Linked DNA regions of Xenopus tropicalis. The protein of the gene in region 1 binds, or shares a complex with, the protein of each later gene. Links are inferred from orthologs where the notes say so. Each region holds a gene or a part of one and is shown on either strand. Other genes may lie near its edges.

The links.
Region 2: the proteins of gnao1 (region 1) and chrm2 are in contact, whole or in part, in a cryo-EM structure (PDB 7T8X), measured with the Homo sapiens proteins. The link is inferred for Xenopus tropicalis from reciprocal best matches to the Homo sapiens genes GNAO1 and CHRM2. Residues at the interface, in NP_066268.1 of Homo sapiens: Lys24, Ile28, Ala31, Lys32, Leu195, Tyr320, Asp337, Ala338, Thr340, Asp341, Ile343, Ala345, Asn347, Leu348, Gly350, Cys351, Gly352, Leu353, Tyr354; in NP_000730.1 of Homo sapiens: Asn58, Arg121, Cys124, Val125, Pro128, Leu129, Thr130, Pro132, Val133, Lys134, Thr136, Ile209, Ser213, Lys214, Ser215, Arg216, Ile217, Arg381, Lys384, Val385, Thr388, Ile389, Cys443.

The regions. Positions count from the first base shown.
Region 1 is NC_030680.2:51,834,406-51,840,293, reverse strand, and holds the end of gnao1 (guanine nucleotide-binding protein G(o) subunit alpha), read left to right. Parts: intron 1-1,767; coding exon 1,768-1,955; 3' UTR 1,956-3,447; downstream 3,448-5,888. UniProt on the Homo sapiens protein: Guanine nucleotide-binding proteins (G proteins) function as transducers downstream of G protein-coupled receptors (GPCRs) in numerous signaling cascades.
Region 2 is NC_030679.2:6,248,506-6,255,388, forward strand, and holds the start of chrm2 (muscarinic acetylcholine receptor M2), read right to left. Parts: upstream 3,876-6,883; 5' UTR 3,418-3,875; intron 1-3,417. UniProt on the Homo sapiens protein: The muscarinic acetylcholine receptor mediates various cellular responses, including inhibition of adenylate cyclase, breakdown of phosphoinositides and modulation of potassium channels through the action of G proteins.

The DNA of each region.
Region 1 (5,888 bases):
GACCCTGCTGATGATCACTGCCTATATCACTGGCACTATCCTTTATAGAAACTGTATCTTAGCCCCTACTTAATGCAGCAGCAGTTATACCATACTTCTAAACATAGAGTTTATCTAGCTTGAAAGCTGTAGTTACACGGCTTCCCTACATAACCCTAAAACTCTATCAACAGATGAACAGTAAGCTCTGATTGCCAATCCTAGCACTGACATGTAATTGTGCATTTCGCTCACTGCACTTCCACAGGAATTGCCGCTGTGCAGGCCAAGACTTGTGGCTATATTCTGCACTTTACATTCTGCTTTGGATGCTGCTTTGCACATAGTATATGACCCCTATTACCTGTTTTACCCTTATAATATAGTAGATAATATTATGTATAAAAGGCCCCATTTTTGACATGAGCTCATTCAGCTGGGCTTATGTAGAAAAAGTACATAGACACTTTCAGAACTTCCAGAATTAAATACAACATTGTATAAATGGTTTTTTTTTTCTACACAAACATACCTGATACTTCAGGAAAGGAACCCATTGGTAGGTTACCTGTTTATATAGACAGTAATGCAGCCCCATCCGTATCCCTCTGCTTTCCATAGCGGGTGGTGCACTGATTCTCTGGAAACAAAGGAAATTCAAAGAACATATAGAACAAGGTATGGTAGAGGTTGGGTTAGATTGTGTGAATGATGATGTGAAATTATCATAGTTTTCTTTTGGTCTGTGGAATAAGGTATGTTTGTGTAGAAAAAAAAAACTTTTTTCTGGAAGTTCACATGGTATTTATGCAACTTTTCTACATATATTAAACTGTATGGGCTCCAAAAAGAGTATACATTTTTGTTTTAAAAAGTCGTGGCAAAAAAACATAATCACATTTTTTTGCTTCAACATTTCCAGAGTTATCGAATTGAGATTGTTTTGTATTTGTTGTGTATTTTAAACATTCTGGTAAATTTGTTGTTCAATTCTTTTTCACTGCAACAAAACTTATGCATTTGAAAAAAAAATGCTTGTGTGTGCGTGTGTATTGGTGCAATTCTGTGTGTCCAAACAACATGCTCCTGCACTGCCATATGGCTGTCATTGTGTCCATGTTGCCTCTTCTCATCACATTGGTTTAATGGGTAGCACTGCTGCCCAGTCTTGCTGCTGGATTTGGTTAATAGGCACACCCAGAACCCTTTTTCATGCATGTGTTGCTCTCCAAATCCTTTTCCATTTGAATGTGGCTCACGGTTATAAAAGGTTGGGCATGCCTGCTCTAGGGTTTCCCAGCATTAGTAGGCACAAAATTCACAACAGGAGGCAGGATGGATGCAGCAGTGCTATATGCAACAGTGTGACAGTGCTAAATGCAGTTTTGGACACACATACCTTTAATAAATGCCATAACATTGAGCAATTACATTTTTGTGTAACTGTGGTTGCAGTTGTGCCCCAGTATATTTATTGCAAATTCATGTGCACAGACAGGGAATATTTAAAGGCAAAATGAGTTTCCTGTACAAAAAAACAGCAGGGCCTCTGATATAGATCATTTTGAAAATGGAAAATTTGGAAAAAGATGTGCAAAGTGCATCTCCAGCAGCTGTAATGATCACTTCTCTAGTGCTGCTTTACCTCAAGGCTGGTACAGTAGCCAATCATTTGGTGCACTTGATCTTTTGTTAGTGGGGTTTTAGTTACCTTTAGATTTGCTTTTTTCATATTTATTGTCTCACATGTCCTCATTGTTTTTTATGCCTTTTTTGTCTGTTCATTAGGTCCTAACACCTATGAAGATGCTGCTGCTTATATCCAAGCACAATTTGAAAGCAAGAACCGCTCTCCCAATAAGGAGATTTATTGTCACATGACTTGCGCCACAGATACGAATAATATCCAGGTGGTATTCGATGCCGTCACTGACATCATCATTGCCAACAACCTCAGAGGCTGCGGCTTGTACTGATTTTCTCTGTATAGCAATTTATCTTCTGGCGATAAAAAAATGCAACTTGGTAAACAGAAGGCAAAACAAAAATAAACATTTATATATATATAAATATATATATATATATAACCAATCTTTTTAGTTTGTCTCAAAGAGCTGTCAACAGAATAGATTCCTGACAGCCCTTATCCAAAATAATCGAGTTTCCTCATTTTTAAGGATTCTCTGTAGGTCCCAATCTGCCTAACCCTTTCAGTGCTGGAACTTCTGCAACTCATGTAACCCATGACTGTTCTTTCCAGGACTGAAAGATAGTGTAGGACTTATTTGATAAAGGGAATATAATATATTTTAATCTTTTAAGATATGTGTGTTGCGATCAGTTTCACACAAACAGGACCCAAGCGAACCTTCAGGTTTATCTCTTCTGTTCAGCTCTTCGGTTAAAACAAAAAAAAAAAATTCCCCTCCAATTTCTTAACCAGGTAGAAGTGTTTGTGAGACTCGCAGGACAATGTGCTCAGCTTTTGTGGGTGCTGTTGCTGTAAGAGGGTCTGAGAGGGATTCTGGGAGGCCCAGCTAGTCTGAACAACACAATGTAGCGGGCCCCCGTTTTATGATAAAGGTATCAGTGCCAACCCAAACTGCAGAGCAGGGGGCACAGTCTACAGTTTTTAGGGGGTTTCATACCCCGCTGTCCCCTCCTACTCCGCACTACTTTACGGACCCTCAAATTGATGATCTGCAGGTAGCATGACCTTTGGCCTTTGTAAAAACACAGCCTTCCTTAAAGTTGATGTGTAATGTTATCACTGGATTAGTGGCTGCATAGGATGCTGTAAATCTGGTTTAGCTAAGTCTGTACATTTAGAAGAAACAAAACTGTTCTTTTTTTCCCACGTGCTTGTAGCTTAAAGACACCTCCCTTATTCTTATTCTTCTTATTATTCTTACTACCATTTTCTTGCACCAACTTGTAAAGAAGCATCTCCTTTATCCTTTCCAACCCCATCACTGCCAGAGAAGCCAACATGGCCTCCAGCAAAGAAATGGGTTTATATAAATCTGTTTTTTGGGGGGTTTGATTGGGGTTATTTCTGTTGGACTAGGTGGAATAAAATTATCATTTGAATGGAGAAAAAAAAGAATTTTCCAAGATATTTAATGTACAGATCTGATTTCTGATTGGATTCCCTTACTCTGAACTGTGTACCATGCACTCTTTGGATTTGTATAGAAAAAGCACAGCTCTCACTGACCTCCAGCTGCTGAAATAATTCCCCTCTTCAATTTTTGCTCTGAATTCTGTGTATTTCCAAACTGATAGGCTTCTTTACTTTCAATCTTGTTTTACTTTCCTAAGTGAATGCTTTGTGCTGCTTCTCTCCCGCCCCACCCCCCATCCTTTCCATCTTATAGTGAATGGTGTTTTCCTCTCATGTGGGATGTTTGTGCTGAGAAAAAAAACACAAAAAACATCAAAAAAGAAAAAAAAAAGAAAAAAACAAAACAAAAAAAACTAATTTAATCGAATGTAGTGTTTACATTAAATCCACAATTTTCATGACCAAACCTTTGCCATTTCTACTTTGATTAGAACTCAGACTTCTTCACCATTTCACTTGCGAATTGAAGAAGAGCGGTCACAAATGTTAAAGAAAAAAAATGAAAAATCAATCAATAAATGAGCGAGAAATGAAGCTGGAGTGTGTTCTTTGTATTGCCGAGCGCTCAGTTTGGTGCTGCCAGCGACTCTCGTAACTAATGGAAACTCGTGTGTAGCTTAATAAAGAGAATGTTTGTCTGTACTGAGCTGTCTCCAACATTCTGCTTTTTATCAACGTGCGTCACTGTACAAGGAGAATGAACCTGGCTCCCTTTGGGCACAATGAGGTGGCCCTTGTGTCGCTATTGTACAACTGCAGGCTGTAGGTGAAATTGTGCCTGCATCCAGGTTGGAAATCTGCTGCTGCTGCTGCTCTGCATCCTTAGCCCAGAGGCTTTCAGAATTTAGTTTTTAGGTCCCACTTTGCAGTCATTAGAACAGGACTCTCTCTTAGCCTATAATAAGGTTATGGATTCAAAAAAATATTGTCCCAGTTAGGGAACCTGAGTCCTGGCCAGATGGTTGTTCATTTGTGATATCGGAAAAGGCAGCCAGGGCCTCAGTATCAATTTAATATCAACAATTGAAAAGTCAGAATATAAAAAGCAGAAGAATTGCATAGAATGTCCCAATATTAAAAAAAATCTTTTGAGGGTCATTGTACTTATTACGCTTATAATAGTCTGATTAGTCTATCTTTTTTGGAATAGGTAAGTGCCATGTATATTATTTTTACTATTGCAAATATGTATGTGTATGATGATTTTGTTGATATTAAATTGATGTTCCTATAAATATCCTTATGTTTAGGTTTCACTATCAGTTGCATGCATACAAAAATTATTTGCGCAATCAGCCTTCACTGCGGATGTGCTCATCTCCCAGCAGACCTCAGCCAATCCTTTAATAGGAGAAATGCCTACCCCCAGACCAATAGTTGGAAAAGCTTTGTGTATAACTTAAGCCAATTTTCTTACAGGGTCTGATTATCACATGTTGGTCCAGCAGAATAGTAAAAAAAAAAAAAAGCAGGCATGGTGGCCATAAAAAAAGTATTGCATTTTATAGTCTGCATGAAAAGGAGGGAATTTAGTAAGTTTTATGGTCAGTGTTCTTTCTCTTTGTGTCTCTGCTTGTGGCCCCCCTGGATATGATGTGCTGCCTGCCACATTGGTCAGAAAACTAACTTATATACTTATAATAATAATATGCTAAGTTTTTAAATATGGCACACACACACACACACACACACACATATATATATATATATATATATATATATATATATATTTTATTGATATTGTATTACATATATGTATTTTGTGTGTGTGTATGTATATGTGTGTGTGTGTATATATATATATATATATAATTTTATTTTTTTTTTTTTTTTTTTTTAAATCTGTGTGGTAATTGTCTCTGGGAATGACAACACTAAATTACAATCTTGGAGTTATCATTTTGGATTTATTTGTTGTTATACAGCCGAAACACTGACGGAGGATCAACGGGAAAAAAAGAACTGTAGAAGATCTTTACAATCTCTTTTATTATTACATATTATGTGAGAAGGCAGTGCCTTTTTGCAGGCCTTCTCTCTGGCCCTCAAAACATTTACAGAGCAAAAGTGGCTAGCAGGTACAAGTGATTGGTTTATTACCATTTTTTGCAAAGTGTAAAAGGTTCCTGCTACTATACATGCATTAAACATCCTGCAATTAGTTCTAGTATGACTTGGACTGAGAAATTGCATGCAGAGTAATAGACCCATGTACAACTGTATTTAAGGAACCCTGGAATTATTGTCTGTCTTGTGCTACTAATTTCCCTTTGTATATTGGGATACTCAACTGACTTTCAGTAAACTGGATGCTAATGCTGTGTAAAGGTGGCCATAAACATTACAATTACGATCTTAATCCCAGGAAAGATCGTTCCCACCCCCCCACTGACGTTCAGGGCTGAATTGTCCGATATGGAAACAATAGGGATTCTACTCCTATCTAACGATTCAGCCCTAAATGCAGATTGTGCGATATCGGTCATCTTGTCGATCCACCATACAAGTGCCGAATATTGTACGAATAATATAGGTGCGTGTATGGCCAGCTTTATGTTTAGTCGCACACAATGCAGTAAGAAATAGGTGCCACAACTGTGGATAATAATTTCTATCTGCATTGGAAAAAAAACACATGAGTAGAGGTGCAGGCTAGTTAGAATTTCAGCTTCACTGGGGGTTCCAAGTAGGAAACTGCAGTTTGGGTAATAAGACAAATTGTAATCACATTCACATTGCACATCCTTCATAAATGAGCCCTGTAGTTATTATTCTGTTCTGATGC
Region 2 (6,883 bases), on another chromosome or scaffold:
CTGCACTAGCATGTTGTCAAGGTTACACATAGACTTTACAACAACCCAAGTGGGCAAGGAGGCATTTAGTAGATGCCACAGAGCCCAAACAGGGCAAGGTAGAACCCCAACACCGAATAGACTGCACCAATATGTTGTCAAGGTTACACATAGACTTTACAACAACCCAAGTGGGCAAGGAGGCATTTAGTAGATGCCACAGAGCCCAAACAGGGCAAGGTAGAAGCCCAACACTGAATAGACTGCACCAGCATGTTGTCATGGTAACACATAGGCTTTACAACAACCCAGGTGGACAAGGTGGCATTTTGTAGACCCCAACAGAGCCCAAACAGGGGTAGAACCCCAGCACCGAATAGACTGCACTAGCATGTTGTCAAGGTTACACATAGGCTTTACAACAACCAAGGTGGGCAAGGTGGCATTTAGTAGACCCCACAGAGCCCAAACAGGGCAAGGTAGAACCCCGGCACCGAATAGACTGCACCAGCATGTTGTCAAGGTAACACATAGGCTTTACAACAACCCAAGTAGGCAAGGAGGCATTTAGTAGATGCCACAGAGCCCAAACAGGGCAAGGTAGAACCTCAACACCGAATAGACTGCACCAGCATGTTGTCAAGGTAACACATAGGCTTTACAACAACCCAGGTGGACAAGGTGGCATTTAGTAGACCCCACAGAAGGTAGAACCCCCGCACCAGTATGCCATGGCAACACATGGGCTTCACAACACTACAGCTGGGCAAGGTGTCAAACTGGTACTTATATAGCCCCATTGGGGTTGAACAGATTGCACCCGATTGGCACCAGTGCTTTTATAAGCAAGAAGGGACTAAATAACTTTTCCACGTCAGTAATTCCGAAGAGCGAGCCGACCGGCCGCACAATCATTTCTGCAGCCTATTGGATAACGACGCGAGACTGGGACCAGATTAAACCCTATGGTTTTGCGTCAAACTGCACTGCGCTTGGGCTATTGGGATGCAACGTAGCGCCGATTCCTGAGTCGCAATGGGAGGGAATGGGAAAGATCCCTACGAAAAAATGTTCATTTGATGGAAACAAGAAGGAATTAATCAGCTAACGGGCTCAATTTGTCTAAGGTGACGGGGGGGGGGGCAAATGAATCTCTGATGGGTGGAAAGATCACTCTCTTATGTTCTTCAGAAGCCAAATTAAAGTGATACACTCCCCCCCTTTCCTATAAATCATTCATGGGGGAAACACAGCCGGAATATTCTTTTCAAGCTTCTAATTAGGAGATCACAAACCCCAGGCTTAATTGTCCCTATATGAATCCATAGGGCGGATTTGCCTTCCTAACTACCCCTGCAGCCGCGGAACTGGGTCGCCACAAACCCCATCTCTGCCAAAGTGCTCCGGGGGGGGGGTACAGATATGTCCCTTTGTCAGATCCGTTTGTCCTTATAAAGTCACTGTGGGGAAAGATTTCCCATAAGGAGGAGGGGGGAGAGGAATCTGGGGTGAAAAATGAAGAAGAAGGGGGGTAAAATGATGAATAAGAACAGAAAGGGAGAGTAATGGGGTAACATGGGGCAACTGGGGGGGGGGGTAAATAACAGAAACCCCAATACCTAGGATGGTAGAACCTTCATTCTAATCCACTCAAGACATTATAGAGAGAGAGAGTGAAAGAGATGGGATCCCCGGAGCCCGGATCAATAGGATGAAGAGGAGAGAAGCGAGGAGAAGCCTTCATGTTTCACGCCAGTGGCGAGGCAATACGTTACAATGATGTGTTAAACGCTCCTGGTTATTAGAAAGACTGTCGTTAGGCTGAGCTATGGGCTCCTGGGGCAAAACCAGAGCTGAGAGAGGGCTAAAACATGACTGATGGGCACGGGGGGTGAGAATGAGCCCCACTATGAGTGGTACCAAGGCACGACCCCTTCTGAAATGCCCTAATACACAAGGGTGGCACTTGGACATTAGCAGCCCTGCCGGAGCAACATGTTACAATGGTGTTTTATAGAACCTAAGCGGGGCAGGGTGGCACATTGGTAGGTAGTAGACCCCCCCAAACAGGGTAAGGTGGCACTATAGCTATGAATAGACCCCCCCCATACAGTAATGACACAGTAGGATTTAGCAGACCCCCACACAACCAAAGGCTGGGGTTAAGCAGACCCCACAAAACTGGAGCATGTAAAGAAGGCAAACTGGCATTATTGGGCAAAGCAACGTCTAGAAAAGCCCAGTGGCACACTGGCATTCATTAGACCCCACAGAGGCCAAGTAGGGCAAGGGGGTACCCTGGCACAGACTGTATCAGCATTGCAAGCTGGCACACTGGCATTAATTAGACCCCACAGAGGACAAGCAGGGCATGGTGGTACCCTGGCACAGACTGTATCAGCATTGCAAGCTGGCACACTGGCATTAATTAGACCCCACAGAGGACAAGCAGGGCATGGTGGTACCCTGGCACAGACTGTATCAGCATTGCAAGCTGGCACACTGGCATTAATTAGACCCCACAGAACCCAAGCATGGCATGGTGGTACCCTGGCACAGACAGTATCAGCATATATAGGTGGCACACTGGCATTAATGAGACCCCCTCAGAGCCCAAGCAGACAAGGGGGTACCCTGGCACAGACTGTATCAGCAGATATAGGTGGCACACTGGCATTAATGAGACCCCCACAGAGGCCAAGCAGGGCAAGGAGGTACCCTGGCACACACTGTATCAGCATAGCTAGGTGGCACACTGGCATTAATGAGACCCCACAGAGCCCAAACAGACAAGGGGGTACCCTGGCACAGACTGTATCAGCAGATATAGGTGGCACACTGGCATTAATGAGACCCCCACAGAGCCCAAGCAGGGCAAGGGGGTACCCTGGCACACAATGTATCAGCATAGCTAGGTGGCACACTGGCATTAATGAGACCCCCACAGAGCCCAAGCAGGGCAAGGGGGTACCCTGGCACACACTGTATCAGCATAGCTAGGTGGCACACTGGCATTAATGAGACCCCCACAGAGCCCAAGCAGGGCAAGGGGGTACCCTGGCACACACTGTATCAGCATAGCTAGGTGGCACACTGGCATTAATGAGACCCCCACAGAGCCCAAGCAGGGCAAGGGGGTACCCTGGCACAGACTGTATCAGCAGATCTAGGTGGCACACTGGCATTTAATGAACTGCACAAACCTCAGGTAGGATAAGGTGGCACCCTGGCATTTAGCAGAGCCCACACAGCCCCAGTGGGCAAGGGTGGCACCCTAAGCAGACTGCGCCAGCATGGGAGAGTGGCACCCTGACACCAGCAGATAAAACACTAACACAACCCAGTTGTTTGCCCAGGCTGCATGTAAATAACAGATTGGCACATAGATATATCTACTGACAGTACAGACAATAGGGCAGGGATGGTAGAGCAGCCTACCTGTGGCACAGTTGGAGCAAGTTGGCTCTCCGGCTGGCAGCTGGCACAGGCAATGCCCAGTCATGAAGCAGAGAAGCGGTACCAATCTCCCATGTCTCTCCCTAGGACAAGCAGTAGGTGGGTGCTGGGTGGCACTGAGGAACAGGCTGCTAGCAGCGGCGGGCACTGGGGGACATAGTCCTGGATGGATCCGGCTGGCACTGCCCAGAGACTGCGCTAAATGGGCACTGGGAGAGGGGGCGCCGCAGCCGCTAATTCCTCCATCTGCTTCTGTCACCTCTTGTTCAGGTGGAGCCGAGTGAGGGGAGGGGGCACCCCGGGGGTCTCCAGTCTCAGCCTCCGCTGCTGGGTGGGAGCGAATGATGGGAGTCCGTAGCGCAGCAATCGCCAAACAGACTGAGCGACTCAGCGCTGGGGGCTGGGAGCGACTCACTGATCATATGGAACTGGGGGCTGGCAGTCAGGGGCAGAGACTCGCATTGTACGGAACTGGGGGCTGGCAGTCAGGGGCAGAGACTCAGAGATACAGGGAATGGGCTGGCAGTCAGGGGCAGAGACTCTCACTCATCATATAGAGAATGGGCTAGCGGTACCGAGTCTCTCAGGGATACAGGGAATGGGTCGGGAGCAGAGAGACTCTCATGGATACAGGGAATGGGTCGGGAGCAGAGAGACTCTCATGGATACAGGGAATGGGTCGGGAGCAGAGAGACTCTCATGGATACAGGGAATGGGTCAGGAGCAGAGAGACTCTCATGGATACAGGGAATGGGTCGGGAGCAGAGAGACTCTCATGGATACAGGGAATGGGTCGGGAGCAGAGAGACTCTCATGGATACAGGGAATGGGTCGGGAGCAGAGAGACTCTCATGGATACAGGGAATGGGTCGGGAGCAGAGAGACTCTCAGGGATACAGGGAATGGGTCAGGAGCAGAGAGACTCTCATGGATACAGGAAATGGGTCGGGAGCAGAGAGACTCTCAGGGATACAGGGAATGGGTCGGGAGCAGAGAGACTCTCAGGGATACAGGGAATGGGTCGGGAGCAGAGAGACTCTCATGGATACAGGGAATGGGTCGGGAGCAGAGAGACTCTCATGGATACAGGGAATGGGTCGGGAGCAGAGAGACTCTCATGGATACAGGGAATGGGTCGGGAGCAGAGAGACTCTCATGGATACAGGGAATGGGTCGGGAGCAGAGAGACTCTCATGGATACAGGGAATGGGTCGGGAGCAGAGAGACTCTCATGGATACAGGGAATGGGTCGGGAGCAGAGAGACTCTCATGGATACAGGGAATGGGTCGGGAGCAGAGAGACTCTCATGGATACAGGGAATGGGTCGGGAGCAGAGAGACTCTCATGGATACAGGGAATGGGTCGGGAGCAGAGAGACTCTCAGGGATACAGGGAATGGGTCAGGAGCAGAGAGACTCTCATGGATACAGGGAATGGGTCGGGAGCAGAGAGACTCTCAGGGATACAGGGAATGGGTCGGGAGCAGAGAGACTCTCATGGATACAGGGAATGGGTCGGGAGCAGAGAGACTCTCATGGATACAGGGAATGGGTCGGGAGCAGAGAGACTCTCATGGATACAGGGAATGGGTCGGGAGCAGAGAGACTCTCAGGGATACAGGGAATGGGTCGGGAGCAGAGAGACTCTCAGGGATACAGGGAATGGGTCGGGAGCAGAGAGACTCTCATGGATACAGGGAATGGGTCGGGAGCAGAGAGACTCTCATGGATACAGGGAATGGGTCGGGAGCAGAGAGACTCTCATGGATACAGGGAATGGGTCGGGAGCAGAGAGACTCTCATGGATACAGGGAATGGGTCGGGAGCAGAGAGACTCTCAGGGATACAGGGAATGGGTCGGGAGCAGAGAGACTCTCATGGATACAGGGAATGGGTCGGGAGCAGAGAGACTCTCAGGGATACAGGGAATGGGTCGGGATCAGAGAGACTCTCATGGATACAGGGAATGGAGCAGAGAGACTCTCAGGGATACAGGGAATGGGTCGGGATCAGAGAGACTCTCATGGATACAGGGAATGGGTCGGGAGCAGAGAGACTCTCATGGATACAGGGAATGGGTCGGGAGCAGAGAGACTCTCATGGATACAGGGAATGGGTCGGGAGCAGAGAGACTCTCATGGATACAGGGAATGGGTCGGGAGCAGAGAGACTCTCATGGATACAGGGAATGGGTCGGGAGCAGAGAGACTCTCATGGATACAGGGAATGGGTCGGGAGCAGAGAGACTCTCAGGGATACAGGGAATGGGTCGGGATCAGAGAGACTCTCATGGATACAGGGAATGGAGCAGAGAGACTCTCAGGGATACAGGGAATGGGTCGGGAGCAGAGAGACTCTCATGGATACAGGGAATGGGTCGGGAGCAGAGAGACTCTCAGGGATACAGGGAATGGGTCGGGATCAGAGAGACTCTCATGGATACAGGGAATGGAGCAGAGAGACTCTCAGGGATACAGGGAATGGGTCGGGAGCAGAGAGACTCTCATGGATACAGGGAATGGGTCGGGAGCAGAGAGACTCTCAGGGATACAGGGAATGGGTCGGGAGCAGAGAGACTCTCATGCATACATAGCATCATTGTATGTGTGAGAGACCAGGTGTGCATGTTAGGAGGCTGTTCCTGCTGAATTGTGCTTAGTACAGGGGAATCCCTATGTGCCATAGTTTTATGGTATCTCTCTGTACAGGCTATGAGCAAACTTAGGGGGCTGTTCCTGCTGAATTGTGCTTCGTACAGGGAAATCCCTATGTGCCATAGTTTTATGGTATCTCTCTGTACAGGCTATGAGCAAACTTAGGGGGCTGTTCCTGCTGAATTGTGCTTAGTACAGGGGAATCCCTATGTGCCATAGTTTTATGGTATCTCTCTGTACAGGCTATGAGCAAACTTAGGGGGCTGTTCCTGCTGAATTGGGCTTAGTACAGGGGAATCCCTATGTGCCATAGTTTTATGGTATCTCTCTGTACAGGCTATGAGCAAACTTAGGGGGCTGTTCCTGCTGAATTGTGTTTAGTACAGGGGAATCCCTATGTGCCATAGTTTTATGGTATCTCTCTGTACAGGCTATGAGCAAACTTAGGGGGCTGTTCCTGCTGAATTGTGCTTAGTACAGGGGAATCCCTATGTGCCATAGTTTTATGGTATCTCTCTGTACAGACTATGAGAAAACTTAGGGGGCTGTTCCTGCTGAATTGGGCTTAGTACAGGGGAATCCCTATGTGCCATAGTTTTATGGTATCTCTCTGTACAGACTATGAGAAAACTTAGGGGGCTGTTCCTGCTGAATTGGGCTTAGTACAGGGGAATCCCTATGTGCCATAGTTTTATGGTATCTCTCTGTACAGGCTATGAGCAAACTTAGGGGGCTGTTCCTGCTGAATTGTGCTTAGTACAGGGGAATCCCTATGTGCCATAGTTTTATGGTAT